3 linked regions of the Macaca fascicularis genome follow. The protein of the gene in region 3 purifies or fractionates together with the protein of the main gene of each other region. This does not show direct contact. Links are inferred from orthologs where the notes say so. Each region holds a gene or a part of one and is shown on either strand. Other genes may lie near its edges.

Region 1 (10,995 bases), on a different chromosome or scaffold from region 3:
CAACTACTTAGCAATAATAACACAGGGTCAACGTTCTCAGTATTTTGCCTTCAGTATTTGAAGGAAACATACGTACAATTTAATAAATAACAGACAGTGTTAATGTTTAAGACTTCAGCTCTTTAATAAGCATCAATTCAGACTATTTTAGTACATCCACACTTGGATGAAAAGCTCCCAGGTAATTATGAAGATAACTGTGATTTATGTCACAACCACTCACATTCAGGAAACATCATTGCTTTACAAATATAAGCACATGGTCAAGAACTATACATTTTTCCCCCTAAGGAGTTAACTGTCAAGAAAAGGGAGTGAATAGGTGGATAAAAGTAAACTAACTTCCAGTCCACATTGTTCTCCCAGGAACAAGATTTCAGAAGTAAATGGTACTATCTATGAAGATTTAAGTTTGACTCAAGTTAAATTTAATGCCACTTTTGTTAAGCAAGCTACTTAATAATTAAATAAACGAAGATAATCTATTCAGGATGGATCTAAACTACTACCATGAAGAATCTTCAGCACATGGGTGACATTTTGTTGTGCTGTAAAACACAGCCTGCTCTGTGTGATCAGGACATGTTAAGAAAATCAGTGCTGTGCTAAAGTTAAAGAATTAATGTTGTACTTGGCATATGAAAGATAATTACTGCACTGAATGAACTGTAGATCCAAAGGGTTTTCGATTTTGTAACTTCCTAAACAATCTTAAATTACACATCAACTTGAAGGGCTGAACTAAAGAGTCTAAGCCAGCTTTTCCTATACAAAAAAACAAAACAAAACAAAACAGCATCTTTAAACTATCATTCAGTGTCCAAGTTTCTATTTTCTCCGAAAAGTGGTACTCAACTACACCGATTCATTGGTGCCCTCCCATCTGATATCCCTAACGGCAGGACTATCTAAGACTTCTTGAAGGCCATTGGTTCAGTCAAGGAGTAAAGCAAAAGTAAATGCGTCCAGTTATGTTTAAATGTTAACTGGCCGGGTGCAGTGGCTCACAACTGTCATCCCAGCACTTTCGGAGGCCAAGGCGGGCAGATCACCTGAGGCCGGGAGTTCGAGACCAGCCTGACCAACACAGAGAAACCCTGTCTCTACTAAAAGTACAAAATTAGCCGGGCGTGGTGGTGCGTGCCTGTAATCCCAGCTACTCATGAGGCTGAGGCAGAAGTGCTTGAACCCAGGAGGCGGAGGTTGCGGTGAGCCAATATCATCACGCCATTGCGCTCCAGCTTGAGCAACAAGAGCAAAACTCTGTCTCAAAAAAAAAAAAAAAACCTTAACCTAGTGAGTATGGATGTTCAACAGACCACTTCCATGCGACAATATCATTGCTAGGGGAACGGGCTAGGGTATAAAGAATGATCTAGAGTCTTGAACTATGACCAAAAAATATGTAAGACATACTATTTACCACAGACGGACTCTCATGGAAGGGGAGGGAGAAGAGAATGACAGAAGAGCGCTACATAATGCCTTGAAAGTGACTCATTTGGAAAGCTCTCTTTAAGCTGGACAACAAGTGGGATCTCAGAGTGAGGAGATGGCATGGAAACATTTAGGCCTTGGAAGAACTGAGATCAACAGAAAGAGTGACAATTTAAAAAAAACTCCTATGACTTAGTGAAAAAGACAAAAAGAAATATAAAAGAAAACACACATTTAGGCTGGGTGCAGTGGCTCATGCCTGTAATCCCAGCACTTTGGGAGGCCGAGGCGGAAGGACTGCTTGAGGCCAGGAATTCAAGACCAGCCTGGGCAACATGGCAAGACTCTACCTTTATAAAAAAATCCAAAAATTAGGCCAGGCGCGGTGGTTCAAGCCTGTAATCCCAGCACTTTGGGAGGCCGAGACGGGCGGATCACGAGGTCAGGAGATCGAGACCATCCTGGCTAACCCGGTGAAACCCCGTCTCTACTAAAAAAATAGAAAAAAAACTAGCCGGGCGAGGTGGCGGGCGCCTGTAGTCCCAGCTACTTGGGAGGCTGAGGCAGGAGAATGGCGTAAACCCGGGAGGCGGAGCTTGTAGTGAGCTGAGATCCAGCCACTGCACTCCAGCCTGGGCGACAGAGCAAGACTCCGTCTCAAAAAAAAAAAAAAAAAATCCAAAAATTAGCCAGGAATGGTGGCACCTGTAGTCCTAGCTACTAGGGAGGCTGAAGCAGGAGGATCTCTTGAGCCCAGGAGTTTGAGGCTACAGTGAGCTATGATGGCACCACTGCCCCCCAGCCTGGGTGACAGAGCAAGACCCTGCCAAAAAACAAAAACATTTACTTTTACTCTCTCAGAAAGATACCCCTAGTCTGAAGGAGCTTAATGTTCACTTACTAAAAATATCTCATGAAAATCAATCTTAAGTCTAGGCAAATCCTCCTGTGTCATGCTTCTTTCAGGAAGCCACCAGGCTTTGTCCTTTCCATATTTATGATGCAGCACAGTACTTCCTATAAAACTGCATAAGGTCATATAAATTTGCGTTTTTTCTTCTGTAACATCCTTAAATTTAATATACCACACAAAATTCCCAAGATTAAAGAGTCTGACAATATACAATCCCATATGATCAACTTAGGCTGCATTGAAAAGATAATTTTTCCTTTGAATGGGCATTTTAGTTATTACCTTCTTAAGTAGTTAGCTCAGAGGTTCATCTAGGTGAACCACCAGAAATCAGAGTCATCACCCTGAGTAACCTGGAAGAAACCAGTTAAATGTGCCAGTTTTCATCCTGAAATGAATTATCTCTAAGTAAGTCAGGGTATTGAGTCTCTATTAATTGTACTGTCTTAGCATTCAGTTTAAAACAAACAACACAACTCATGACGTCGTTTAAAAACACACACAGATGTCTCTTCTAAAGTTATAAGCCAGAGGCCTTCAACAATTTGGTACCATCTCTCTTGGACCACTTCCCCAGCAAAAATATCCAGTGACTTTGGCATTATTACTTTGGCCAATCCAGGGCCAGAATGATCCCTCTTCTCTGCCACACCTTTCAGGTACAGAAGTGATGAAACCACTTAAGTGGTTAAGTGGTTGTCTAATCTCTGTATAGTACTATGCACTTACAAAGCCGCTAACAGCCATGTCATTCCTTTTAAACACTTTCTACAAGAGGCAAGGTGGACATGAGCATCATCCCCATTGACCAAAGAATGACCCCAGGCTTTGAGGAGTGAAGTGGCCTAAGGTCACACATCTTTCAGTAAAACAACTGAACAAAATCTTGAATTTTCTCAAATGAGTGCCTCTTTCCATAACATCCTATTAGACAACAGAGTTTGTACTGGGATTTGGGGGTTTTCAGAAAGTTAATGCAAGGAAGGACTGCTCAAGGAGAAGCAACACAATTTTAACTTGGACACTGGCTGCATCTATGCATAAAGGGACTGAGGTCTGACTCTTGTCTACTCACCAGCCTTGTCTGCCATCTTGCCGGGCAACCACAACAAATTTTCTTTGTTGCTGTCATTCACAACTACTAGTGGTGGCTGGGCACAGTGGCTCACGCCTGTAATCCCACCACTTTGAGAGGTCAAGGAGGGCAGATCACTTGCGGTCTGGAGTCTGACACCAAACTGGCCAACATGGTGAAACCCCGTCTCTACTGAAAATACATTTTTAGCCAGGCGTAGAGGCACACGCCTGTATATAATCCCAGCTACTCAAGAGGCTGAGGCAGGAGAATCGCTTGAACTTGGGAGGCGGGGGTTGCAGTGAGACAGCGCGTCTCTGCACTCTAGCCTGGGTGACAGAGTAAGACCTGCATCTCAAAAAAAAAAAAAAGAAAAAAGAAAAAAAAGAACTACTGGGCATCCCAAAGGAGCCCAGTCATCTCAGTGTTTGTGCCTCTGTGCATGCAATTTCCTCTGTCTGAAATGTTCTCACCCTTTCCTTCTTTGAGCCTTCTTCTACTCAACCTTTATAACTGAGCTCAAATGACACCTCCTTCAGGAGCTGACCTCCTCAATGCTCCTGGGGCACTCTGAACTACCCTACATCATTGTCCTGTCCTGGCTGTTGTTCTCATCTGTCCCCTTCCCTAAAGTACTGGGAGGAGGTTGAGGGAAAATGGGAGAGTACAGCTGATATGACTTGGCTTCTCCGGGTATCTGACACACAGATCAGGTACTCAGTAAATGTTTGTGGACTAACCGAATGAACCCACCAATTCTCAGGAGAAGCCAAGCCAGGCCTCCCAGACAGAAAAAGAACTTCAGACAACTCAAGTGGAAACCATGGCTCACCACTTTAGCCACCTGGCCTCCTTTTCCAATCTGGCGTTCCCAGAAAGCCATGAGCGCATCATGAAACCTCAAGTACTATCCTGGAATTTCGATCCCCGGTAGGTTTGGTGGGGTTTTTTTGTTTTTTTTCATTTTAATTGGAAAGCCTTTGGTTCTCTGTAAATTCAGAGTTATTTCACATTGTTAACTTGGAAGGCAAAGTGACAGCCACCGTTCTGGAGTATTTCCCAGCGATCAGACAGCATAACGGTTAACAGCGTGAACTCTGAAGTCTGGGTTCAAATGTACCACTTGCCAACTGGGTAACTTTGCATAAGTTACCCTACACTACTTCCCAATAAGACATATAAACTGGAGAACCTCTGGCCATTCATTAATACCAGCTGAACATCTACTGTGAGCCCGCTGCTAGCGATATAGTGGAGACCTGACCTTCCAATCTACAGTAAACTTCCATGGAGTCAAACTGTTCCATTTCCTACACAGCACTTAGCACTATCTGCAAAGATCACGTGTGCTGGTTTGCCTGTCCTCGTCGGAAGGTAAGCTCTATGAGAACAGAGGCCTTGTCTGTCTTGTTCATCCATCACCTCCCCAGGGCCTTCCACGTATCTGTAACGATGTTGTGTGCTGGTTTGTCTGTTCTCGTCGGAAGCTAAGCTCTCTGAGAGCAGAGGCCTTGTCTGTCTTGTTCATCCATCACCTCCCTAGTGCCTTCCACATCACTGGATACAAGCAAAAAGAAGGAATGAGCATGTCAGACCTTTTACCTCGTGGCCCTGGTGAAGGTAGGAAAAAAAAAAAAAAAAAAAAGAACAACATAGAAAACATAAAGGCACAAATTACAGAGATAATAGTGTCTGGGAGAAACCAGGGTCATGGTTTCCCACCACCGCAGGTGTTGCTCCAGGCAGCTCTGCGGAGCAAAAGGATCCCAGCACCTTGGCAGCCTCCCTCAGCTGCATCCAGGAGGCACCATGAGGGAGGCAGTGAACGGAAAATGGGACCAATCCCATCAGAAGGCCTGAGGAGGTTCATTTGTTGGTTCAACAGGTATTTCCTAGGCGTCTAATGTGTGCTGGGTACACAGCAGCAAACTGACAAGAGCCTGTCCTCATGCAGTTTCCTTTCTAGTGTTGAAACAGTGATTTTGAGTACGAAAAGTGCGGTGCTGACCACGAAACAGTGACAGAATGGGGACAGCAGGAGAGCAGGTGTGCACGGTGGGCTGGGTGGCCACAGCAGGCCTCTCTGGGCAGGTGATACCTCAACTAAACCCTGAGGTCAACACTGTCACAGAGCAGGGGAAGAACCTTCCAGGCAACAGCAGCGGCGGAGGTTCACACTAAAGTGATCACAAACTGGTCACTAAGTTACAAGGCAAAGTGACAAGTGCCTCGAAGGCAAGTCCCAGGAGGCTGGGGGTCGGGGAGGAGGCACAGGCCCTAGCTCCTGCACCAGTCCTCTAGGGTCCCGGCCGCTCCGCGCATTTCTGGGGCGCGCGCTGAGCGCCAAGGCCCGGCCCGGCCTCGCCGGCCCCCACGACAGCGCCGTCGGGGTGGGGACGAGGGCCGACGTCACCCGCCGCGCCGGACTCCGTCCCTCCAGCACTGGGGCGGGGGCCGCAAGCATGAAGGTGGCGGCCTCTGGGGCTTACCTCGGAACTTGAGCTCGTGCTGCGGCTCGAGGCTCAGGACCTGCTCCACCTTCGCCATGTTCCTCAGCGGCGGAGCACCTTTGGCGGGGAGACCCCTGAGAGGTCACCGGGGCGGGAAGCGTTAATGCCGCGCCCGCTTTAAGTTTTACAAAAAAGGGGGGACCAGTCGGGGCACGGGTGAGGGTCTTCGACGGGGTGCGCGCGCTGGGGGGGGTCGTTCTACGCGGTGCAGGCTCAGGGGCGGAGGGCGAGGGCGAGGCCGCGGTGCCCGGCGAGCTGACGGCACGCACGCACGCACGCACGCACGCACGCACGCACAGGCGTACACACGCACGCACGCAGCAGGCTGGCCCGCTCGGGCGGCGGGAAGCTGCGCCCTGCGCCGCCAGCTCCAGGGGCGGGGACTAAAGCTGCGCGCGTGGAGCCCCACCCGGGACAGTGCGCAGGCGCGGTACAAGCCACGGGGGCGGAACTGCAGGGCAGCAAGGGGCGGGGCTTCGCGCTGCTCAGGAGGCGGGGTTTGTAGTCCGGCTACGACTGCAGCCGCGAAAACTATTAAGGGTCCGCTGGGGGCCAGCCTCGTGTTAAATGCTTTATTCAGTAACAACAATTAGAATAAACTTCCACTTTTCTCTTGCTTATGTAGTGCCAGGCACTGTTAGAGACTTTGAATAATAGTCAAAGTACTTAGTATAAACATGATGTTTATGGGTGAGTGATATGGGCTAAGCACTGTGACGTCTTGTAAATAATAATTATAAATATAATAAACTACCAATTATTGCTTATTTCGTATCACTCTGCTGAATGCTTCCAATGACAACAGCAGCTACAATAAATACAAGCTACTCTACGTTAAATGTTTATTAGGCAACTGGCACTGTGCTGAATTTTTACTAGTAAATTCGATTTGTTTATGCAATAAATATTTAGAAATACAATGATCAGAAAAGCTAACCTGATTCCAATCCTTTTACTGTAGCCTAGTGAAGAGACATTTTGAATAAATAACCACACAAGTAAGTTAAATAATTAAAAATTGCTGGAGAATCCAGATCTGCTTGACCTCAAAAATGGATACTCTACATCATGATTACCGTTTAAATTGTATTTCATTATATCATGTTCACTGTGAAAGTAAAATAGGTGTTCTTAATAGTCTCCTATACATACCAATATAGGTGAAACAAACATGGCAAATTGCTAACAATGGCTGACTTGACATCGCAGGTACATGGTTTTCTTGTACTGTTTCTCCCACTTTTCTGTATACTTGAAATTTTTCATGATAAACAGGTTTCTTGGAAGAATAATCTTTGTATTTTAACTGTAGCATTTAGTCCATTTACATTTATTATATTTACTAATATATCTGGAATTATTTCTACCATCGTATTTTGTTATTTCTACTTGTCCTGCCTGTTTTGTTTTTCTTTTTTTTTTCCCCTTTCTTCTTTGGGGTTTATTTTTATTCTCATTCTTGTTTTCTTCACCTACATACTCTATTTCTAAGTTTTAGTGGTTACTTGAAAATTTTGGGCATGCATGCTTACCTTGTGAAAGTCCAGTATGTTTAAATATTTGTAAAAATGTCTTTACCCTGTTTCCTTAAAATATGAAGACTTCGGAGTACTTTAATCACCCATCCTCTAAATTAGACACCTTAATGTAGTGTATGTTAAGTTTAACCTTTGCCATTTTAACCCCAGGAGACATTATTAAATTGTTTTATACAGTCAACATTAATTTAGATTCAGCCACACAATTACCATTTTTATTCTTCTTCTTGCATCTTAGCTTTCATGAACAGGATCACTCTCCTTTTGCCTGAAGTAAATCCTTTAAATTTTACTTTTTTGTAGGTTTGTTGGTGCAGACCCTCTCAGTTTCTGTTCGTCTGCAAATGCATTCGTTTTTGTCTTTTGTTGTTTTTTATTTATTTATTTTCGGAGATGAGGTCTTGCTCTGTTGCCCATGCTGGAGTGCAGTGGCATGATCATGGCTCACTGTAGCCTGTATCTCCCAGGCTGAAGCAGTCCTCCCACCTCAGACTCCCATGTACCTGAGACTAAAAGCATGCACCTCCATGCCAGGCTAATTTTCTTTATTTTCTGTAAAATCTCACTATGTTGCCCAGGCTGGTCTCAAACTCCTGGGCTCAAGTGATCCTCCAGCCTCAGCCTCCAAAGTGCTAGGATTACAGGCATGAGCCATTGCACCTGGCCTTGTCCTTGTTCTTGAAAGATGTTTTGGCTTCCTTGCTTGAATGACAGCTGTCCTCTCTCAGCACAGTTGATTGCCATCCACTGTTTGCCTGCTCCCCCTCATTGCTCCTCAGGAGTCCAGTGACAATCTTACATCGTTCCCTCATAGGTTGTTGGTCTTTTCCCCCTCTTCTCATGTTCTACAGTTTTACCGTGCTGTATCTTTTTTTTTTTTTTTTGAGACGGAGTCTTGCTCTGTCCCCCAGTCTGGAGTGCAGTGATGCCATCTCAGCTCACTGCAACCTCTGCCTCCCATGTTCAAGCGATTCTCCTGCCTTAGCCTCCTGAGTCTCTGGGATTACAGGCACCCACCACCACGCCCGGCTAATTTTTGTGTTTTTAGTAGAGACAGAGCTTCGCCGTGTTGGCTAGGATGGTCTCAAACTCCTGACCTCAGGTAATCCACTCACCTCGACCTCCCAAAGTGTTGGGATTACAGGCGTGAGCCACAAAGCCCAGCTCATGCTGTATCTTTTTATTTATTCTGCCTTGAATTCTTTGGGCTTTCTGAATTTGGTGATTGGTGTCTTTCATTATTCTTGAAAACTCTCAGACAATACCTTTTTTTTTTTAATTTAATTTTACTTTTTTATTGTGGTAAGATACACATAACATAAAATTTACTATCTTTTTAAAGTATACAGTGGTATTAACATTCCTATTGTTGTGCAACCTCACCATCATCCATCTCTAGAACTCTCTTCATCTTGCAAAACTAGAACTCTGTACCCCTTAAACGGTCATTCCCCATGCTCCCTCTCCTAAGCCCCTGGCAACCACCATTCCACATCCTGCCTCTATGAATTTGACTAGTCTAGGTACTTCTTGTAAGCAGAATCATACAATATTTATCCTTTTGTGACTGGCTTATTTCGCCTAGCATAAAGTCCCCAAAGTTCATCCATGTTGTATCATATGTGAGAATATCTCTTTTAAATGTTATATTGGATGGACACAGTGGCTCACGCCTGTAGTCCCAGCAATTTAGGAGGCCAAGGCAGGCAGATTGCTTGAATCCAGTTCAAGACCAGCTTGGGCAACATGGTAAAACCCCATTTCTACAAAAAATACAAAAAAAAAAAAAAACTAGCCACGCCTGGTGGTGCATGCCTGTAGTCCCAGTTACTCAGGAGGCTGAGGTGGGAGGAGCACTTGAGCCCAGGAGGTTGAGGCTGCAGTGAACCATTATACCACTGCACTCCAGCCTGGGGTAACAGAGTGAGATCCTATCTCAAAGAAAGAAAAAATAAAAATGAATGTTATCTCAACCTTATTCTCTCACTCTTTACATCTTGTAGTGTGATTAGTAGTTATTCAACTAATATTTTTCAAACTGTAGGTTGTTTTCCAATAGTGGCTTATAAAAGCAATGTAGTAGATTGTTACCAGTGTTGAGAAAGAATGAAATAGAATATATTGGAGTGTATTGTATTATTTCATGAAACTTTTGTTTCAGTTGTATTTATTAATATACACATATTTATGGAGTAACAAGTAAAATACATTTATTACTGTGGATTGTGAAAGAAACAGAAGTCTCATACCCTTCTCCATGTCTATTAACCTCTCTATCACATCTTAATCTGTCATCTTTATGTTCCATGTTCCAGATCATTCTTCAGATCTTTCTTCTAGTCACTAATTATCTCTTAGGCTATTGATAAACCTGTTTCAGGAGTTTTTCATTTTGTTTGTTATTTTTTTAAAGTCTATAAGTTCTATTTTGTTCTTTTACATATCCAAGTAGTTATAGGTTGTGCTTTTTTCCTTTTTCTTTCTTTTTTTTTTTTTTTTTGAGACAGGGTCTCCCTCTGTTGCCCAGGCTGGAGTGCAGTGGTGTAATGTTGGCTCACTGCAGCCTCTACCTCACGGGCTCAAGCCATCCTCCCACCTCAGACTCCCGAGTAGCTGAGACTACAGGTATACACCACCACACCTGGCTAATGTTTGAATGTTTTGTAGAGATGGGATTTCACCATATTGCCCAGGCTGGTCTCGAGCTCCTGAGTTTATGCAATCTACTCACCTCAGCCTCCCAAAGTGCTGAGATTAATGGCATGAGCCACTGTGCCTGGCCACATTTATAGGTTTTTAACACTGATTCCCAGCTCCTCTGCCCTCCCCTAGGGAATGGTGCCATAACAGAGCTTTAGTGTTGGTCTCTTCTGCCAGGTCACTTTGGTAAGGGGAAGCCCACGTTCCTAAGCCTATACAGAGCCATCACACCTGCCACCATGACCTCTGTGTAAATAAGCTCATTGAGCACACAATAGCACAGTTGCGGGAAAGGGTAACTGTTGTCTGCAGAATATGCCATCTTGTCCACTCAATTAATAGAGTCGCTGCTGCAGTAGATGTCTTTGAGTGAGCGTTCACATGAGATGCCTGTGTGTGTGTGTGTGTGTGTGTGTGTGTGTGTTTTGTTTTTTTTTCGAGACAGAGTCTTGCTCTGTTGCCCAGGCTGGAGTGCAGTGGCATGAACTCAACTCACTGCAACCTCTGCCTTCTGGGTTCAAGCAATTCTCCTGCCTCAGCCTCCTGAGTAGCTGGGATTATAGTCGCCCACACCATGCCCGGCTATTTTTTGTATTTTTAGTAGACACGGGGTTTTACCATGTTGGCCAGGATGGTCTCAAACTCCTGACCTCGTGATCCACCCACCTCGGTCTCGCAAAGTGCTGGGATTACAGGCGTGAGCCACCACGCTCGGCCAAGACACCAGTGTCTTCACACCCATCCTGAGAGGTATCCAGTACTTCCTCCCAGACCTCCTCACCAAACATCCACATCTGCTCTCTCCATCCCTGATCATCCACT
Region 2 (9,395 bases), on a different chromosome or scaffold from region 3:
TTGGAGAAAAATAGGATACAACTTATAATTAGTGATTATGCTTAAAGAACATTAATATTATAGGGAAATGAATGAAATGTTCCTAGCAATTGATGCTGCTGAAAGGCAGAATTTGCAATTTTTTATATTTTCCAAAAATTGCCTAAAGTGCACACACTGTGTCAGAAGGGGAAGACAAACTCTTTTTCCCTAGTGATGTATGTTTATACTTCTTTGCACCAACCCAGGACTGGCTGGGCATTCATTCCCAAGATGTCACTGCTTCTGCGAAGAAGCATGGCTGTAATCTACCAAAAGTGGGCTATGAAATGTGGAATGAAAAATCAGCTGTTCTCACTTCCTACTACAAAACAGTTAACTCTATCTCACTAAGCAAGAGACTATCTGCCATCAGAATGCAAGTCCCAGTCAGTGATTAGCTATTAATGCTTAACAGGATATAAATGCACAAACCATCACAATCTGTTGAAATTTTTTGTATTGTGAAAAGGAAAAGGACACTTCACATTTTTAAACAGTTTATTCACGAATAGTTTAATTTCCCTTTAAAGCTAGAAAATAAAGATAATTTATTTACCTTCTGATCTTTGTCTTTCCAAATGGTAAGCATTGATCCTTCCCACTAATAAAGGATGAAATTTTAAAAATCTGTGAATGGGAATATGCAAAGCTCTAGGAAAACTATTAATTGAATGTCTTTAAAGTGGCAGAAGATCACAAGTGGGGAATACACCCTCAAGAACTATATTTTTACCTTACTGTTAAAACTTGTTTTCAAAGTGGTATCACCTGAAAGATTACAGTTCAAAAGTAATTCCCATACCAAATAATATCAACTTTAGGTGAACATCTGAGCTAAATATTTAAGAGTATTATTTTTCTTGGCTGGGTGTGGCAGCTCACACCTGTAATCCCAGCACTTTGGGAGGCCGAGGCAGGCAGAATTCAGGAGTTTGAGCCCAGCCTGGCCAATATGGTGAAACACCTGTCTCTACTAGAAATACAAAAATTAGCCGGGCTTGGTGGTTCACATCTGTAATCCCAGCTACTCAGGAGGCTGAGCCATGAGAATCACTCGAACCCAGGAGACAGAAGCTGCAGTGAGGTGAGATCACACCACTGCACTCCAGCCTGGGCAACAAAGCAAGACTCTGTCTCAAAAAAAAAAAAAGAAAAAGAAAGAAAGAAAGACAAGAGAAAATTACTTTTCTTTGATCGGAATTTCTGAATTTCATACATTTTTCTTCCAAGTGTCATTTTTTTTTAAGGGAACATACCACACACTCAGAACATAACTTCTTAGTATCTTGTAAATACAAGAATGAGGGAAGTTAAGGTACATTAGTTATAGAACAAAAGAAGCTAGTGCATTCAGTGTCACATATGAACTTAAGGCCTTAGTTACTTGACTGTAATTTCAGTATTATCAACAGTGTATTTCCCTCATGCTTACATATACAAGTAAGCAGGGAGATAAAGCAAAAACTTCTAAACATGTAAGGAATGAAGACAATTTAATCTCTATATTATCATATTATCAGTCAACTAATACAGTTTCAAACTATAACTGTTGGTAGTAAAATAATCTGATCACATTTCATACAGCAATAAAAATAACAGAAACAGTCTCATCTATACAATCAGAGCATCTCCTGATATGAACAACAGTTAAGCCCACATACATTTTAAAGATGCTACCCAGACTACAATCTATCTCAAAAGCAACCATGGCATAATGCATTTTATAAAATGCCTACCTAAAAATACATTGTATTTTGTAATGTTATTTATTACCAATGTGGGAAGCATGTCTAGCCTAAACACTATAACCAAACTATTCAACAGTAAGCCGGCAGTAGTCTTACAATAGGAAATGTCACATATACTTGTTATTATAAATAGCATTTTATGTTCATTATTTCAGCCATCTCTCAAACTAAGACAATTTTCAAGTTATCAGAAAAGACACTGAGCTAGAGTCAACAGATTTCTAGTTCCAGCTCTGCCTCTACCTACCTGTGAGACATGGGGAAAGTTCTCTTAACCTTCGTAAGGCCTCAGATTTCTCAACTATAAAACAAAGGGACTGAACAAAATGAATTCTAAGGAGCATTCCCATAAAACGGAATTTGGCTAAATTTTCAAGAACTTCATTTCTTAAAAAAAAAGATCGCTATGAGATACCAAACTTGATTATTTATCACCAATAATATTGATTACATAAGAGCTTTAAGCCAAGGAATTACTGATTCTCCATTTATGGGGTGAAAATATAAGACTCCTTTTAGCATGCTTTTCCAGTTACCGGAAAAGGGGAGGGGGGGATTTTCACAAAAACAGTAAAGCATATAGCAATGGAAATATGACCTGCAGCATAGCATGCTAGTAATGGATAGACATTACTTGTGTTTCTTTTTAGCAACTTGCACACAAGCAAGAGATATAAAAAAATACCACAGCACATAAAAGATACCACAGCACACAATAACACAATGTATGTATCATCTGACAAATTCAAAACACAGTTGAAATGAAAAGGCAACCAAAATACTTCAGAATACTTCACTCTTCTATAAAATGTGTACACAGATCTGGGCCTAAAATACTTCACCACATCCAGTTCTAAAATCCAATTTCCTTTTCGGGTAGAGCGCATCTTTTAAAAAAATAACACCTATGTTTAAGAATAAAAAATCACTTGTACTAGATCGTATGTAGCTAAAAACTGGATCTATTTTCTGATTCCAACATTTTCTATCCTAGTAAGAATAAATGAAGACACAGGACAAATCTAAGTGCAGGAAATATCAGACCCTGTAACACATACTTATACTGAAAATGTGTTTCACATGGTTTAACATTTGCAAAGGACAAAATCATTTTTCATAAAGAAAATTCCACAGGCTTGCTCAGTATTACCAAACTTCCATAATGAACATTATTTTGAGTGCCAAATTGGGCAGGAAAAAACACCTACTTTTAACTATTATGAAATATTATGGAAAGTAGTAAGACTTACTAGGCTGGTTAAAAAGTACTTTAAAACCAAGGAGAGTTAAATCTTCCTTGAGAACATACTCTCAGAACTTAAGAATGGGGTAAAAATCAGATGGAGCACAGCCATGCTGTACACGTCAACTCACTGAAATCACATAACTTCTATTCTCATGGACCTTATTTTCCGTTATCTTGAAAACAAACTGGTTATAATCTCCCAAAATACCAGCAGTACCTCAAAATTTAATCAACTCCTTTCCTGAACAGAATTAGGACTTTCAATTAAAAACACTGTAATATCCGAGAGGGTTTCAATGCAAGACAAACCTTTGCATCATAATTTCAAGTGACCATATATAGTGGACTCCCCTCCAATAACACGACAGACACAGACAAGCTATCGAGCAAGAATCTGTTAACAGTTTTATTTTTTTTATGTTAAATACCATGGGACAGGATTGTAAGGATGAAAAACTCAGTCAACAACTGCCTCACAAGGGATAAGAAAAATTCTGCCATGATATTAGCAAAGGTAAAGGAGGAAAAATTTACACTGTAAGAGGCACCATTTCCCCAAGGAATACCTCTTGGCATTTCCTGAATGAGTGGGATTAGCAATCTAAATAAATCATATTTCAAGAGGTAACAGCAACAGATAAAATTTAAAGGGATTATTAAAATAACATTTACAAGACTCTGAACAATTCTTGAACTCTTATTAAAACCACAAAGAAAGAACAATTCTTTATTTATGAATTTCATAAAGGACTGAATGTGCAACTGACATCTGCTAGTGATGATCGGTACTATACAATTTGTCCAGGAGCCGAACAGTTTGTTTTTATTGGGTTTTCTAACCGTGAGAGATCATTAAAGGCAAAGCCTATATGACGCTGTACACACAAAAAAATGGTCACCGCGGGCCGTACTACCAGTGAAATGGTAGGTAAACAAATCTTTTTCTGGTCAAGAGAAAAAAAAAAGAAATAGCACTCTGCATGCTTCACTCTACAAGATGAATTTCCCTAGAAAGAATCCAATGAAAATGGCTGCAATTACAACAAGAAGTGAAGGAAGAGGACTGGTGACATTATCTCTGAAGGATGCAGTTGAGGTTGATCCAGGTTTATCCGAATGTGCTACCTTTCTGAGCCTTAAACCTTCATCCTAGGAAAAAAACAAACACACAAAAGAGGTTTTTAAAAACAAGCATACTAATGAGACTACTGGAGCTAAAAATCTATAGGGACGGAAAGTAGATTAGTGGTTGCCTATGGCTGGGGACAGAAACAGGGATTAACTGCTAACCACATAAGGAAACTTTCCGGGGGTGATGGACATTCTAAAACTGAACTACAGTGACAGTTATAAAGTTCTGTATTTCAGTGAACTGTACACTCACAGTGGGTGTCTCCATGGGATATAAATTATACCTCAATAACACTGATTTTTTAAAACTGGAGCTGAGAAATGTATTCCTAAAAAATAAAAGTCAGATATGGCTATATTTACCTTTTATTTTAATCCCACTAAAAACATAATTAAAGAAGAGTACTTCCAAGGCGGCCCATGGTATTTAAAATCAGTTACATCTGTCCTAGCCCAGTCAAAAACTACCGGACCCGTGGTCTGCCAGTTGGGTTGACTGACCCACTGCAACTAAGGAACCGAAACAGCAGAGCCACAAGAGGGTATTCTTGCCAAAAACACAGATACGGTTGTCACAGAATTTGGGGGGAAGGAAACGGTTTAGCGTGAAATTTAAGTAACAGTGTTTTCACAAGCTCAAAGCAAAGCAGAGGGCTGTGTGTAAAGGGATAGCACCAGGTCTGGACTGCAAAGCAGAGAAAGAATACTGTTTCTTCAGGAACTACAAATTTAGATGAGAAATGTATGTAGGAAACCCTTATCTGAAGCTCTGCACCTGGAATGGAAACTGAGGGTGCTTCTCTGTGTCAAAACGACAGATCCTCCAGTCAAGAGTGGGCTGCTTCATCCTTGCTGATATGGCTTCACACAGCACTATGTCCTTAGAGGACAAGGTTTCTCAGAAGAAAGCAGAAGTCACTCCAGGCAGGAGGTTGTTACGACACTGTGTGCAATGTGAACCTTGGGAAAAATACTACTACCTGTTAACTATGCAGTTGTCTTTATCTGTGTCTGTTACCTCCCATGATTGTTTTATTGTGCTTATAAATAAACACTAACTAAAAGAGTACACCTAATGGCACAGTTTTATTTGCATTACTGGATTTTCTGGAGTTGGGTTTTTTTGGTCTCATGCTAATTAGTTCTATATAAAAACAGTAGTAATTCTCGGTTTCAGCTACACATCACAAACATCTACAGAACTTTTGATACTCCTGTGATTCTGATTCATTAGGTCTTGGGAAGGCCTGGTAAACTGTAACTTTTTAAAGCTCACTAGGTGATTCACATGCAGTGTGAATTAAGAACCATAGGGCTAGGGGAATTAAAACGGATAGTGAACAGACAGGAGCAAGAAAGTTAACATGGCAAAAAATTATGATGGGCCTGTGTATAAAATGCTAAAGGGTCTGAAATTCTGTAAGCCAGTGGGTCTCCAAGGTTTTTGTTTTATTTTTTTTGTTTTTTTGAGATTTGCTCTTATTGCCCAGGCTGGAGTGCAACAGTGTGATCTCGCTCACTGCAACCTCTGCCTCCCAGGTTCAAGTGATTCTCCTGCCTCAGCCTCCCAAGTAGCTGGGATTGCAGGCACCCGCCACCACACCCAGATAATTTTTGTACTTTTAATAGAGACAGGGGTTTCACCACGTTGGCCAGGCTGGTTTCGAACTCCTGACCTCAGGTGATCCACACACCTCGGCCTCCCAAAGTGCTGGGATTACAGGTGTGAGCCACCGTGCCCAGCACAGCTTTTTTGTTTTACTTTTCCAACAGCAGAATCATCTCTCAAATAAAATCTCATACAGAACATTAGCATACAAAGAGCAGAAACCAGGAATAAAGTCTCTCTCACTTCCCTGGTTCATTCTTCCTATTTTCCAGACCTGCCCCACCTGTCACTCCTACTGTTTACACTCTCCCCTCCATGCCAGAGGTAAACAGTGGCTTTTGAAAGAAAGCTATTGAGCACCCTAAGGAGCACATCTTTATCAAAGAACAGAACTATGGAAGTCATGGCAGATGAAGTAAAAGTAACCAACAAAATCCTTTAAAAGATCCATGGTGTGTAGGTGTGAAATAAAGATATTCTTCCCGCTATCCAGACAAGCACTTGGAAGCAGAGGGGTACCCCTCAAGGGGGTACTATGAAGTATCAAACATGAAGAGACACAAAAATTCACTTTAAAAAGCATTTCAGCAAAGGAGTTCACAGATCGACTTAAGATACAGTGTTCAGAGTGCAGTTCCTATATACACCTAACAAAAGGAATAATCAAATAACTCCCATCATTTAGCTTATTTTAGTTACATATATTTTTGTATCATCTACGTTGCTGCAAAGAGCTTCAGACAAAGCCTAAAGAGCAACATATAGGAATTCAGGTCTTGAAACAATTACTTGTCAAAGACAAGTATTATTCATAAATTTCACACATATTCAAATCGGTCCTCCTTCACCATCCATTTATTCAATCAAATATATGACTACTACACGCATGTACGGTGAATGCAGAGAGAAATCAAACACTGCCCCTGTCCCCAAGGAAATTACTGCCCACTAGAGGGAGAAAGGCCTCTAACAAGTAAGAGCAGTAGAATGCAATCGGCATAGTGGTGGCACAAAGCAGACAGGACAAATCGATTTTTTTTTCTTTTGGAGAGGGTCCCAGCAAACGCTATACTGAAAAATCAACAAGAATATAGTAGCAAGACATTAATATGTGTATGTGCTGTGTCGGGAGGGACAGGGTTCTGAGCCTTTCCAGTCACAGTGAAGAGCTGATACTAAAGCGAAAGAGGGGTGATAAACAGATGCTTCTCCAGCATACTCCAGCCCAACGCTGTCCCACGCCAATATGTGAGCTTCAAATGTGACCCCATATGTAACGTTAAATTTTCCAATAGTACATTTAAAAAGTAAAAAGAAATGTGTAAAATTCATTTTAATATATTCAATTCAACCCAATATACCCAAACTACTATTTCAGTATGTAACCATTAAAAAAAGAAAAATTTACCTTTTTCTGTACTAACTCTTCAACATCAGTATTTTACACTCAACAGCACAGCTCAATTTGAACAAATCCCATTTCAAGCGCTCAACAGTCCTAGGTGACTAATGGCTATGATGTGGGACAACACAATCCTAGTTCAGTGTGACTGGGGCACAAAATGGGAAGGACAGGAGAAACAAGAGCTGAAGCTGGCAATGCTGCAGGCCAGATCACAAATGATTAGAATGTGTGCTAAGGTAAGGAACTTGTGGCAATGAGAAACCACAGGAAGACTTTTAAGAGAGGAGTAGGGTGGGGAGCAAAGGTCAGGACATAATCAAATTGGGGAAAACAAGAAAGAACTGACCAAGGATAAATTTAAAAACTAATTGCTAAAATGGCCTAATAACACTCACATGTCCTATACCTTCATTTAAATCAACTTATTTTCAACCAACAGAACTTACTCTCAGGTGTCGATTTTCTTCTGACAGCTTCATCATTTCTCCCTGAAGTCTTTTACACTCTTCCATTAGTTTCCTTGTTTCAGTATCATTAAGTGAAACACTGTGTGGTTTTGGCATAGGTCCATCTTGTTTAGATGCATTCAGTGGAACGGTTTTGCTAGGTTCCATGTCATTCTGTATTACAAAGATATTGAGATTTTTTTTACCAAATCTTCTTACAGGTTTTAAACAAACAAAAACATAAATTCTACATCTTTGTTTATGAAAAACTCTTTAAAAGGCCTAAATCAGTACATGCCAGCAGTCAGATTAGTCTAAATAACGAGCCCACTCCCTCTATTCCCATAACCGCTGGCATGTACGTCTACCATAGCACTTTATTATGTATCTTAATAATTATTGTTCAAGTTCTTTCCTATAACACTTCAAAGGCTGGGAAAGCAAGAGCCATCTCTCTTTGTATTTACCCCTAAAACCAGCACTTTGGTCAAGAGTAGTTATTCAATCCAAGTATGCTGAATGACTGACGTCAACAAAATCCAAATATGAAGGTCATTTTCCATGCTCTGGTTCTGCAATTCAAATAAGGTTCTGGGGCGTAGGGGGATATTATTGCAATCATTCCAATAAAATTAGAAACTACCTAAGAAAAAACATGCCAAAAAAGCTAACTTCTATTATCATCTTAGTAATGCTGTTTGCTTTAATCCACGTGATTCAACATCACAGTAAAAATTAGCATGCTCTGAAGACTATGAGCCCCAAAATCTTAATCCTAACCAACACTGAACCATTTGAAGTTAGTGTTGAAGGCCTGGAGATAAATATCTATGACAGCATCTACATATTCTTCAGCCTGTGGTCTAAAGTACCCCAACATCCTTCACTCTAACAGCATTTATGTCACCACACATAGTAGCAGTATTAGAGTAACAAGTTTTTTCATTTTAATTAAATTTTTACTTGCTTTAAAATAATTTTAGAAAAAATCTGCTTTTTCAGCTATAAACTGCTAACAAAGACATTTACAAAATCAACTTTATGGCATTCCACAATACTCATTTTATAAGATTTATCAGAGGCTGCACACCTAACACACCATCCCAGCTGCCAAATTTATATTAAGTATAAACAGATTGTTTGCTCAAAGGGCAAAACTTGTTCTTCTTATGAAGGGGATGTGATTTGATTACTATGCCTAAATCCATGTAAAATCTATTTAAAAATGAAAATTTATAATGAGGTTCTAATCAACAACAGTATGTATTTGACCTGTCGGCAGATTCTTCCATTTTTCTTCAAGCTTCCCAGTTAAGAAAGGTTTAAATTAAAGAAGCATACTTCAATTCTTTCTCTGAGTTTTTCTCTTGCCAGCTTTTTTGTTCTTCACCCCAATCTCTTCCACCCCAATCTAATAATAGCCACCTCTACTATTAAAACACTGCTTCAGATATATCTTACCCTGCCAATACATTTTCCTATTATTTTCCTTAATAGTAGTTAGAACTCATTTCAAAATGATTTTCAGTGTGGTCAAATTCTATCCTAACACAAATCCAACTTCTGATAATGAAGTTGGCACACTGACTTCCTTTATAAAGGAGGTGGCAATGGCCACCAATATGGCAACAGAAGAACTTCTAGGTTTCAGTTAAGAATTGGGAAAAAGTATCATACCCATACCAGAAAACTGACGAAAAACTTAAGAGGATGAAGCAGGGTACCATGTCTCATGCCTGTAATCCCAAAACTTTGGGAAGCCGAGATAGGTGGCCTGCTTGAGCCCAGG
Region 3 (10,233 bases):
GTAAACACAGAAAATTTTAGAAAACCAAAGAAAATCTATCATTTCACTACCCTAACATAACACAGCTCTCACTTTTGGTATTCCTGTCTAATCTTTCTTCACTTTGTCATAGTTTATATGCAGTTTTGTTTTACTTCCTTTTTTCAGTTAATTTTTGTGTGTGTGAAATGTGTTAAACACACAGAAGACTGAATGGAATACATATAAACATTCAAAGAAAAAAGATAAAATGAATACCCTTGTATCTACCTCTGATATTAAGCTATAGAACATTGCCTGAACTTGGAATCTCTGAGTTCCCCTCTCAGTTATAGTCCTCTACTTTTTCTTCCACATAACAATTTACTTTACTTTTGTGTCAATTATCCCTCTACTTTTTGCTATGGTTTTACTGCTTTTTTGTACTCCATAATGATGTTTAGAAAAAAATGAATAGCTAACATAAGCTTAGCATAAGGAAAGGACTGCGTTGCCATTTGTAGAAAACAGCTCCCAGAAAAAGATAAGTTAAACATTTGAGTCTCTGGCTTTAGCTTTTTATGTTATTGAGAAAGTTTAGAAGAGCCCTTTGTAGTGAAATTAGAAGGCAAAGTTGCGAGTCCTGTAAAATATACATCCCAGAGCATTTGGTGTGAGCCAGCTGCAGGAGGAATGTGGGCTGGGGAAGTGAACTGCTCAGTATTCTCAGTTTCAGAGCAAACTGTGACCTACCTCCAACTCTCAGGAATAGATTGAAGTTAGAAGGCATCTGTTGGGGAAATGAGCATCTTCAGCCAATCCAGACAGCAGAACATGGAGAGGAGAGTAAGAATTTCACCAGCGGATAGTCAACACAAGCCAAATACAGATACACTTGGAATCAGTTTCACTAGGCTTTTTTATCCTCAGGTTTGAAAAGATGATACAATGGCAGCATGAAGCGTGTGGATGACAGTCTTCAGTATGTCTGTCTCTTGAGTCACATCACTCTAATCTGGACCAGGATTTCCTTTAGCTTTCTCTTTGGCTAAATCTGTTTACTGTATCCATTTCTTCTTTCTTGGTTGCCTCTCATTTTGTTGGAATACATCCTCCATTAATTTCTCAGGAAGATTTGTAAGAAGAAAATGTGAACATGTGTGTCTGAAATGTCTATGTTGCCTTCATGTTTCATTGCTGGTTTAGATAGAATTTGTTGCTTGTGGCCAGGTGCAGTGGCTCACGCCTGTAATCCCAGCACTTTGGGAGGCCGAAGCAGGCAGATTACTTGAGGCCAGGAGTTCGAGACCAGCCTGGCCAACATGACAAAATCCCATCTCTACTAAAAGTACAAAAATTAGCCAGGCATGGTGGCACATGCCTGTAATCCCAGCCACTCAGGAGGCTAAGGCACAGGAATCACTTGAACCTGGGAGGTGGAGGTTGCAGTGAGCTGAGATCACGCCACTGCACTCCAGCCTGGGTGACAGAGTGAGACTCCATCTCAAAAAAAAAAAAAAGAATTTGTTATTTTTAAATAATTATCTTTTATAATGTCTCCTTGCTACAGGGTTCTAATGAAAAGACTGAAGTCATTCTGATTCCTAATCTTTTGTTTGTGACTTGTTTTGTAGTTTTTCTCTCCAAAATTGTTTAGAATCTTTTCTTTGTCATGTCTTGATATTATGACATTGATGTAGATTTCTTTTATCCGTTGTATCTGGGTACTTGGTGGGCCTTTTCAGTGTGACAACTCATGGTTTTGAGTTCTCTGCAATTTTCTTGAATTATTTCTTTGATGATTGTATTAGGGTTCTCTCGAAGGATGGAAATAATAGGATAGATAGATACATAAAGGGGAGTGTATTAAGGAGTATTGAGTCACATAATCACAAGGTGAAGTCCCATAATAGGCCATCTGCAAGCTGAGGAGCAAGGAATCCAGTCTGAGTTCCCAAACTTCAAAAGTAGGGAAGCCAGCAGTGCAGCTTTCAGTCTGTGGTTGAAGGTCTAAGAGTCCAAAAGTGAAGAACTTGGAGTCCGACGTTTGAGGGCAGGATGCATCCAGCACAGGAGAAAGATGTGGGCCAGAAGACTCAGCAAGTCTAGTCCTTCCATGTTCCCTTGCCAGCTTTTATCCTAGCAGCTGATTAGATGGTGCCGACGCAGATTGAGGGTGGGTCTACCTCTCCCAGTCCACTGACTCAAATGTTATTCCCCTTTGGCAACACCCTCACAGATGCACCCAGGAACATTACTTTGCATCCTTCAATCCAATCAAGTTGACACTCAATATTAACCATCACAATGATTTTTCTTCCAATTTTTTGTTTGTTTGTTTGTTTGTTTTCTCTGAAATCCTTATTATATGGCCATTGGACTTCCTGGTCTGGTCTTTTATTTTTCTCTCCTACTTTTCTTTTTCTCTCTTTGTCTGGCTTTGGTGTTTTGGGAGATTTCTTCACCTTTTATCTTTTAACCCTTCTTTTGACTTTTAATTATTGTTATGTTTTTAAATGTACTGATTTTTTTAAAAAGCATTCTTGTTGTATGTATATAATATCTTCTTAATTCTCTGAAGATATTATTTTTTGTTTTTATTTTTCCCCTCCTTTGAGGTTTCTGTTTCTCCAAATCCGTTTCTTTATTTTGTTCTTTATATTCCTAGTTAGAGGTTTTCTCGGAAATCAGTATTTCTTTTCTGCTCACAATTAAGTTTAGGGAAACTAAAACCTGACTTTAAGCTTCAACACATAGGTGGCGCCTATGTTTTTCATTGTCCCATAATCTGGATGGGCCATTTGTTGGGAAACTTGGTGTCAGTATCATTAGGTTTTTCCTCTAGGTTTAGTCAAATTTCCCAGAAGAAAAATTTTTTCGGCCGGGCGCAGTGGCTCAAGCCTGTAATCCCAGCACTTTGGGAGGCTGAGACGGGCGGATCACGAGGTCAGGAGATCGAGACCATCCTGGCTAACACGGTGAAACCCTGTCTCTACTAAAAAAAAAAATACAAAAACCTAGCCGGGTGAGGTGGCGGGCGCCTGTAGTCCCAGCTACTCGGGAGGCTGAGGCAGGAGAATGGCGTAAACCCGGGAGGCGGAGCTTGCAGTGAGCCGAGATCCGGCCACTGCACTCCAGCCTGGGCGACAGAGCGAGACTCCGTCTCAAAAAAAAAAAAAAATTTTTTTTCATCTCGCACTTGGTGAGTCCAAAAGTAGTTAAAAAGGAGAAGAAGGCTGCATGAGAGAGGGTGTTAATAGCTAGCATTTAGTTTACATGAAGTTATTAAATGCCCTTGTTATGTATCACTTGGTATCCTCTCTCTTAGAATTCCTTGCTATTCTCCAGTCTAGAGAATAGACCACCTTGTTTATCCGGAGGCTAAACCTCTAGACTTTGAGGTCTAAGAGGGTAGTTACTAACAGTGTGGAGTTGGGGGTATGAGTTAGGCATCTAATTGCTTTCCATACAGATTTTACTCAGTTATTTTTATTTTAGCATTTCTGTGAACCCCCAGATCCAGAGGCACCTAGTGCTGTCAGCTCCTGAGCCTTTTCAGGAATCTGTGCATGTTGTAATCTACTGCCTGAGTTTCAGCTTTCTCGTTAGGAACTCTCAAAATTTTGTTGTGTTTTGTCTACTTTCCTGGTATCTCTGGGTTTGTCTTTATATGAAGTTTATTTAATTTCAGTGGAATTTTGGTAGAAAATGAAATTAAGATGCATGTATTCAGTTCACCAACTGAACCTGCAACATCCACTGTCTTTTGTATTATTTATATCATCTTCAAAACCATCTTTTTAAATGACTATAATAGTCATTAAATGAAAGTTCCCTACTTCAGTTAGCTAGAACCATAGTTCAAAATGGAGGTTGTTCTAATTATTTTTTCACATTGCTTTTCCTTCATTCAATTATTTATTTCCTAAGGCTAGATTCTTAGAATAATAAGTACTAGGCTAAATAGTTAAGAGCATCTTAGGGCTCTCGAAAAATATTGCCAGATTTTGCTTTCTCACAGGTTTGAACCATTTTGCAGTGCCTTTCCGAACTCTGCTTTAAGTAAAATACTTAATCTTTCTTACACTTACCTGGTTTTAAGTATAAAAAGTTCTCTTATTGGAAATAGTTCTCTTGTACTTAAGATTAAATATATGTTGCAGTTTTTGCTTCGGTCTGTGATCTCTTTAGTCTGTTCTCAGGGAATGACATTTATTGACTCTTCTCATGTCTTGGTCATTCATCTACAATTTAATTTTAACATAGGAAAGGAGCAAAGGCAGGCTAACATTTACTTTGAGTTTTAATGCTGTTTCCCTGGTGATACTTTTATCCAGTCTAGAAGTTTGAGGATTTTTTTGAAGTTTCTTCTAACCCTCTTGAATTTATGTTTAATCTTGGGCAGGTTTGCATTTCCTTGTAAGAATGCTTTTTTTTTTTTTTTTTTTCCAGATAGGGTCTCACTCTGTTGCTCAGGTACAAGTGCAGTGGCACAGTCATGGCTTATCGTAGCCTCGACCTCCCAGGCTCAAGTGATCCTCCCACCTCAGCCTCCTGAGCAGCTGGGACTACAGGCACAAGGCACCATGCCCAGCTAATTTTCGTATCTTTTATAGAGACAGGGTTCCACTATGTTGCCTCGGCTGGTCTCGAACTACTGTGCTGAAACAGTCCTCCCAACTTGGCCTCCCAAAGTGCTGTGATTATAGGCATGAGACCCTGTGCCTGGCCAAGAATGCTTATTTTTTAATGTGACTAAACACTTTTTCTTTATGACTTTGTTTTTAATACCCATCTAGAATGAAATGTTTTCAGAGAGAGAACAGTTGTCTACAGATATGCTACACATGGATTAAATTTCCCCTCTTTCATTGATTGTCGTTGTTGTTTTAGGTGGTGCTTCCTACATTTATCCTAGAGAAGCGTTCCTTGCTGGAAATGTATGCAGACTTTATGTCTCATCCAGACCTATTTATAGCCATCACTAATGGAGCCACAGCTGAGGACAGAATGATTCGCTTTGTTGAGTACTACCTTACCTCATTTCATGAAGGCCGTAAGGGAGCCATTGCTAAAAAACCATACAATCCTATCATTGGAGAAACATTTCACTGTTCCTGGAGGATGCCAAAAAGCGAGGTAGCATCCAGTGTTTTTAGCAGTTCTTCCACCCAGGGAGTCACAAATCATGCTCCTTTATCGGAGGAGTCTTTGAACCAGGTGGGAGCAGACTGTTATACAGTCAGATTTGTTGCTGAGCAGGTTTCTCATCATCCTCCAGTCTCAGGATTTTATGCAGAATGTACAGAGAGGAAGATGTGTGTAAACGCGCATGTCTGGACTAAGAGCAAGTTCTTAGGCATGTCAATAGGCGTGACAATGGTTGGAGAAGGTAAGTAGAAAAATTATTTTACATATATATATATATTTTTTTTTTTTTCAAGCAGGAATGAAAGTTTATTTAAAAAGGCTTTAGAACAGGAAAGAAAGGATAGTTCGTTTGGAAGAAACCCAAGCAGGCACGTGAAGGTCAAGTGCCTGTTTTACAATTTTTAATATCAAACTACAATCTTAAATTTAGGAACCCTAGATAAATATTAACTATAAGTTTAAAATGTTAAGTTAATTTTTAGCTCCAATTCCTAGAGTGTTCCAGAATGCTTCTTGGGGGGGATGGGAGGAGTATATCTATGAACTAATGTAAATTCTCTTTTTAAATTATTTTTTTCTGATTTTAAATATTTCCTTTCTTTTCTTTTTTTTGAGATGGAGTCTCACTCTGTCGCCCAGGCTGGAGTGCAGTGGCGCGATCTCAGCTCACTGCAACCTCTGCCTCCCAGGTTCAAGCAATTCTTCTGCCTCAGACTCATGAGTAGCTGGGATTACAGGCGCCTGCCACCATGCCACCACACCCAGCTAATTTTTGTATTGTTAGTAGAGACGGGGTTTCACCATGTTGGTTAGGCTGGTCTCAAATTCCTGACCTCTGATGATCCACCTGCCTCGGCCTCCCAAAGTGATGGGATTACAGGCATGAGCCACTGTGCCTGGCGATTTTAAGTATTTCTTATCAAATATTTAGAAAACTAGAAAAGTACAAAGCAGAAAATAAAAGCTTCTGTAATGCCTGCATCCATATATATATATATAATTTAATATTTTATACTTTTTCTGTGTGTGTATATTCAGGACTTTTAGCCTTATAAAATTAGAATTAATAATATATAGTTTTGTGTCCTGCTTTTTAATTAAATATATTTGTTTTCTCATGTCATTAATAAAACATTTTAATGACTGCATAATATTCTATGAAATATATTTTCCATCTTTTATTTAAACATTTCCCTTTATTTGGACATTGAGGTTGGTCCCAAATTTTTATTATTATAAAAATCACAAAAAAATAGGTAAATCTTTTTTTTTTAATGTATTTTTTTTTTTTTTTTTTTTTAAGAAACAGGGTCTTGGCCGGGCGCGGTGGCTCAAGCCTGTAATCCCAGCACTTTGGGAGGCCTAGACAGGCGGATCACGAGGTCAGGAGGTCGAGACCATCCTGGCTATCATGGTGAAACCCCGTCTCTACTAAAAAAAAAATACAAAAAAACTAGCCGGGCGAGGTGGCGGGCGCCTGTAGTCCCAGCTACTCGGGAGGCTGAGGCAGGAGAATGGTGTGAACCCGGGAGGCGGAGCTTGCAGTGAGCTGAGATCCGGCCACTGCACTCCAGCCTGGGTGACAGAGCCAGACTCCGTCTCAAAAAAAAAAAAAAAAAAAAAAAAAGAAACAGGGTCTTGCTCTGTTGCCCAGGCTGAAGTGCAGTAGCATAGTCATAACTAACTGCAGCCTTGACCTACTCGGCTCAAGCCATCCTCCTGCCTCAGCCTCCCAAGTAGCTAGGACTACAGGCATGCACCACCATGCTAGCCTAATTTTTTTTATTTTTCTTTTTAGAGACAGGGTCTCAATATGTTGCCCAGGCTGGTCATGAACTCCTCCTGGGCTCAAGTGATCTTTTGGCCTCTACCTCCAGGCATTAGCCTGTAATATCAGCACTTTAGGAGATGGAGGCCAGAGGTACTATTCATAGAATATTTAGGTGCTATTCATAGAATATTTAAAAATACATACTGATAAAATTTAATTCTACTTCATCAGAAGATTGTAAAAAATTATTTTTGGAAATACAGTGTTTTTTGACCAAGAATATGAAACAAAAACAAAAATCTCCACAGAAATTATTGAAGAGTTAATGAAAATATAATGACAGGAAAAAAACTACCACTTTTATGTTAAAGGAAAATGCTTATGCAAAGAACACTTTGCTCTGAATGTCATTTTACAATGTAAGCATGGCAGCATTTAAGCCTGTCACTCTAATATTTTGAGATTGTGTTTTAGTCATTATGAAGAAAATATCCTCTTTTTCAGTTTTCCCCATTTTTAAGTTCTGTTGTAGTATGTCTTACCAATTTCCAAATAATATTTCAAGTTAATTACAACTTTTATAACATTAGAAAGTACTCTCTCGTGTGTGTGTGTGTGTGTGTGTGTGTGTGTGTGACGTTGTGTAGCTGTGTCACCCAGGTTGAAGTGCAGTGGGGCCATCTCGGCTCACTGCAATCTCTGCCTCCCAGGCTTAGGCCATCCTCCCACCCCAGCTTCCACAGTAGCTGGGATTACAGGCATGCACCACCATGCCCAACTAATTTTTGTATTTTTTTGTAGAGAAGAGATTTTGCCATGTTGCCCAGGCTGGTCTCAAACTTGTGAGCTCAAGTGAGCCACTACACCCAGCTGAAATCATTCATATTTTATTAGTTTAAAAAAAAAAGTTTGGCCGGGCGCGGTGGCTCAAGCCTGTAATCCCAGCACTTTGGGAGGCCGAGACGGGCGGATCACGAGGTCAGGAGATCGAGACCATCCTGGCTAACCCGGTGAAACCCCGTCTCTACTAAAAAATACAAAAAAAACTAGCCGGGCGAGGTGGCGGGCGCCTGTAGTCCCAGCTACTCGGGAGGCTGAGGCAGGAGAATGGCGTGAACCCGGGAGGCGGAGCTTGCAGTGAGCTGAGATCCGGCCACTGCACTCCAGCCTGGGCGGCAGAGCGAGACTCCGTCTCAAAAAAAAAAAAAAAAAGTTTGCTACCCTTCGTTATAAACTCCATAACATTAGCCTTAAGCACTTCATAGATCAATTTGCTTATTTTATAAGTGAAAGAAAAAAGTCTAGAGGTGATGAGACATGTCTAAGGTCATAAAGGTTAAGGAATCGACACATTTAGAATCATATTCTTTGACACTCTTCCAAAGGACAGTTAGTCTTACCAGTTCATGTAACAGTAAGAATCTGGGAATGGTAGCCTCTCACACTACAAGAAAGGAAATACTTCAAGAAGTGAAGAAAAGCTGAGCACAGTGGCTCACATCTGTAATCTCAGTACTTCGCTGAGCTAAAGTGGAAGGATAGCTTGAGCCCAGGAGTTGGAGACCAGACTGGGCAACATAATGAGAGCCTATCTCTGCAAAAGTAAATTTAAAAAAATTAACTGGGCATGGTGGCTTGCTTCTATAATCCCAGGTACTTGGGAGACTGAGGTGGCAGGATCACTTGAGCTCGGGAAATTGAGGCAGCAGTGAGCCGTGATGGTGCCACTGCACACCAGCTGCGTGACAGAGGAGGACCTTGTCTCAAATGTAAAATTTTTTAAAAAAGAAATGGAGAAAAGCATTCATATCTTAACCATGCTTTAATTATAAAGGAGGTATGTAAATAATTTTTTATTGTGCTGCTATATATTAGTGGAATATATTGGAAATTAAATGGTTATCGATATCCGCAACAGAAAGTAAGTAAAAATCAGGAATGGTGCTGGGTGCGGTGGCTCATGCCTGTAATCCCAGCACTTTGGGAGGCCGAGGTGGGTGGATCACCTGAGTTCAGGAATTCAAGACCAGCCTGGCCAACATGGTGAAACTCTGTCTCTACTAAAAATACAAAAAAAGTAGTCAGGTGTGGTGGCGGGTGCCTGTAATCCCAGCTACTTGGGAGGCTGAGGCAGGATAATCGCTTGAACCTGGGAGGCAGAGGTTACAGTGAGCCGAGGTTGTGCCATTGCACTCCAGCCTGGGCATCAAGAGTGAAACTCCGTCTCAAAAAAAAAAAGACTTAAAATATATACAAGTATGTTGTCTGTCATCTGACAGCTCTCATTATGTATAAATATATTATAGCCAGAACCATGTATTTTATGAAATGGTTCAATAAACCTTAATTTATTGTTGCCCTTTGTGAAGACTAAGAGCAATACAAAAAAAAATAGTTGATGTTGCTTTATGTAGGCTACTTTAGAATCTCATTTTGTCTCTTCGCATATCCTAAAAATTGACTATATTAAAATATTTAAACACGTCCCCTTATTTGTGAACATTAAGAAGTGAGTGCTTAACGAGCATTTATTAAAAGGGAGATGCCATAAACGTTTGGACTAGTAGTACATATCCACTTCAATATGTGGTCTGTTGATGACACAGGTAATGAGTTTAGAAGGTTAGTAATGTAGCTTGAGTATCCTTAGTATCCCTTAATTATCTAGTATAGAGTGATTATTCGTTAATGTAGTCCCCTTTTTATAAAACCTTTTAAACCATCTTTAATTAGCATCACTTAATATGGAACAGGCTCCTTTCTCCATTAGAATAACATTTGTTTGAAAACCACCACTGTGCCGGGCGCGGTGGCTCAAGCCTGTAATCCCAGCACTTTGGGAGGCCGAGACGGGCGGATCACAAGGTCAGGAGATCGAGACCATCCTGGCTAACATGGTGAAACCCCGTCTCTACTAAAAAAATACAAAAAACTAGCCGGGCGAGGTGGTGGACGCCTGTAGTCCCAGCTACTCGGGAGGCTGAGGCAGGAGAATGGCGTGAACCCGGGAGGTGGAGCTTGCAGTGAGCCGAGATCCAGCCACTGCACTCCAGCTTGGGTGACAGAGCAAGACTCCGTCTCAAAAAAAAAAAAAAAAAAAAAAAAAAAAAGAAAACCACCACTGTTATCTCTTCTAGCTTCACCATAAATATTTTATAATTTGGCAAACAAAATTATTATGACCATAGTTTTTTATAATCAAACAACATCTTTTCTTTCTTAATATATATACAATAGAATGAAGAACAATTTTTTCCCATTATACTGTCTTAGATCAATGTCTGTGACTTAATAACATTGAACATCTAGTTATTCCCAAACTGCTAAAAAGTTATTAATACTAATGATAAAAT

Evidence for each region.
Region 1: the proteins of OSBPL11 (region 3) and VAPB purify together in Homo sapiens (affinity purification with mass spectrometry; 4 studies listed by BioGRID and IntAct, counting the BioPlex papers as one, with this or other methods). This does not show direct contact. The link is inferred for Macaca fascicularis from reciprocal best matches to the Homo sapiens genes OSBPL11 and VAPB.
Region 2: the proteins of OSBPL11 (region 3) and VAPA purify together in Homo sapiens (co-immunoprecipitation; 4 studies listed by BioGRID and IntAct, counting the BioPlex papers as one, with this or other methods). This does not show direct contact. The link is inferred for Macaca fascicularis from reciprocal best matches to the Homo sapiens genes OSBPL11 and VAPA.

The regions. Positions count from the first base shown.
Region 1 is NC_088384.1:114,452,673-114,463,667, reverse strand, and holds the start of VAPB (vesicle-associated membrane protein-associated protein B/C), read right to left. Parts: upstream 6,205-10,995; 5' UTR 5,973-6,204; coding exon 5,915-5,972; intron 1-5,914. UniProt on the Homo sapiens protein: Endoplasmic reticulum (ER)-anchored protein that mediates the formation of contact sites between the ER and endosomes via interaction with FFAT motif-containing proteins such as STARD3 or WDR44.
Region 2 is NC_088392.1:78,297,981-78,307,375, reverse strand, and holds the end of VAPA (vesicle-associated membrane protein-associated protein A), read right to left. Parts: intron 7,781-9,395; coding exon 7,607-7,780; intron 4,165-7,606; coding exon 4,006-4,164; 3' UTR 3,396-4,005; downstream 1-3,395. UniProt on the Homo sapiens protein: Endoplasmic reticulum (ER)-anchored protein that mediates the formation of contact sites between the ER and endosomes via interaction with FFAT motif-containing proteins such as STARD3 or WDR44.
Region 3 is NC_088376.1:157,690,538-157,700,770, forward strand, and holds part of OSBPL11 (oxysterol-binding protein-related protein 11), read left to right. Parts: intron 1-4,851; coding exon 4,852-5,350; intron 5,351-10,233. UniProt on the Homo sapiens protein: Plays a role in regulating ADIPOQ and FABP4 levels in differentiating adipocytes and is also involved in regulation of adipocyte triglyceride storage. Weakly binds 25-hydroxycholesterol. Interacts with OSBPL9 to function as lipid transfer proteins.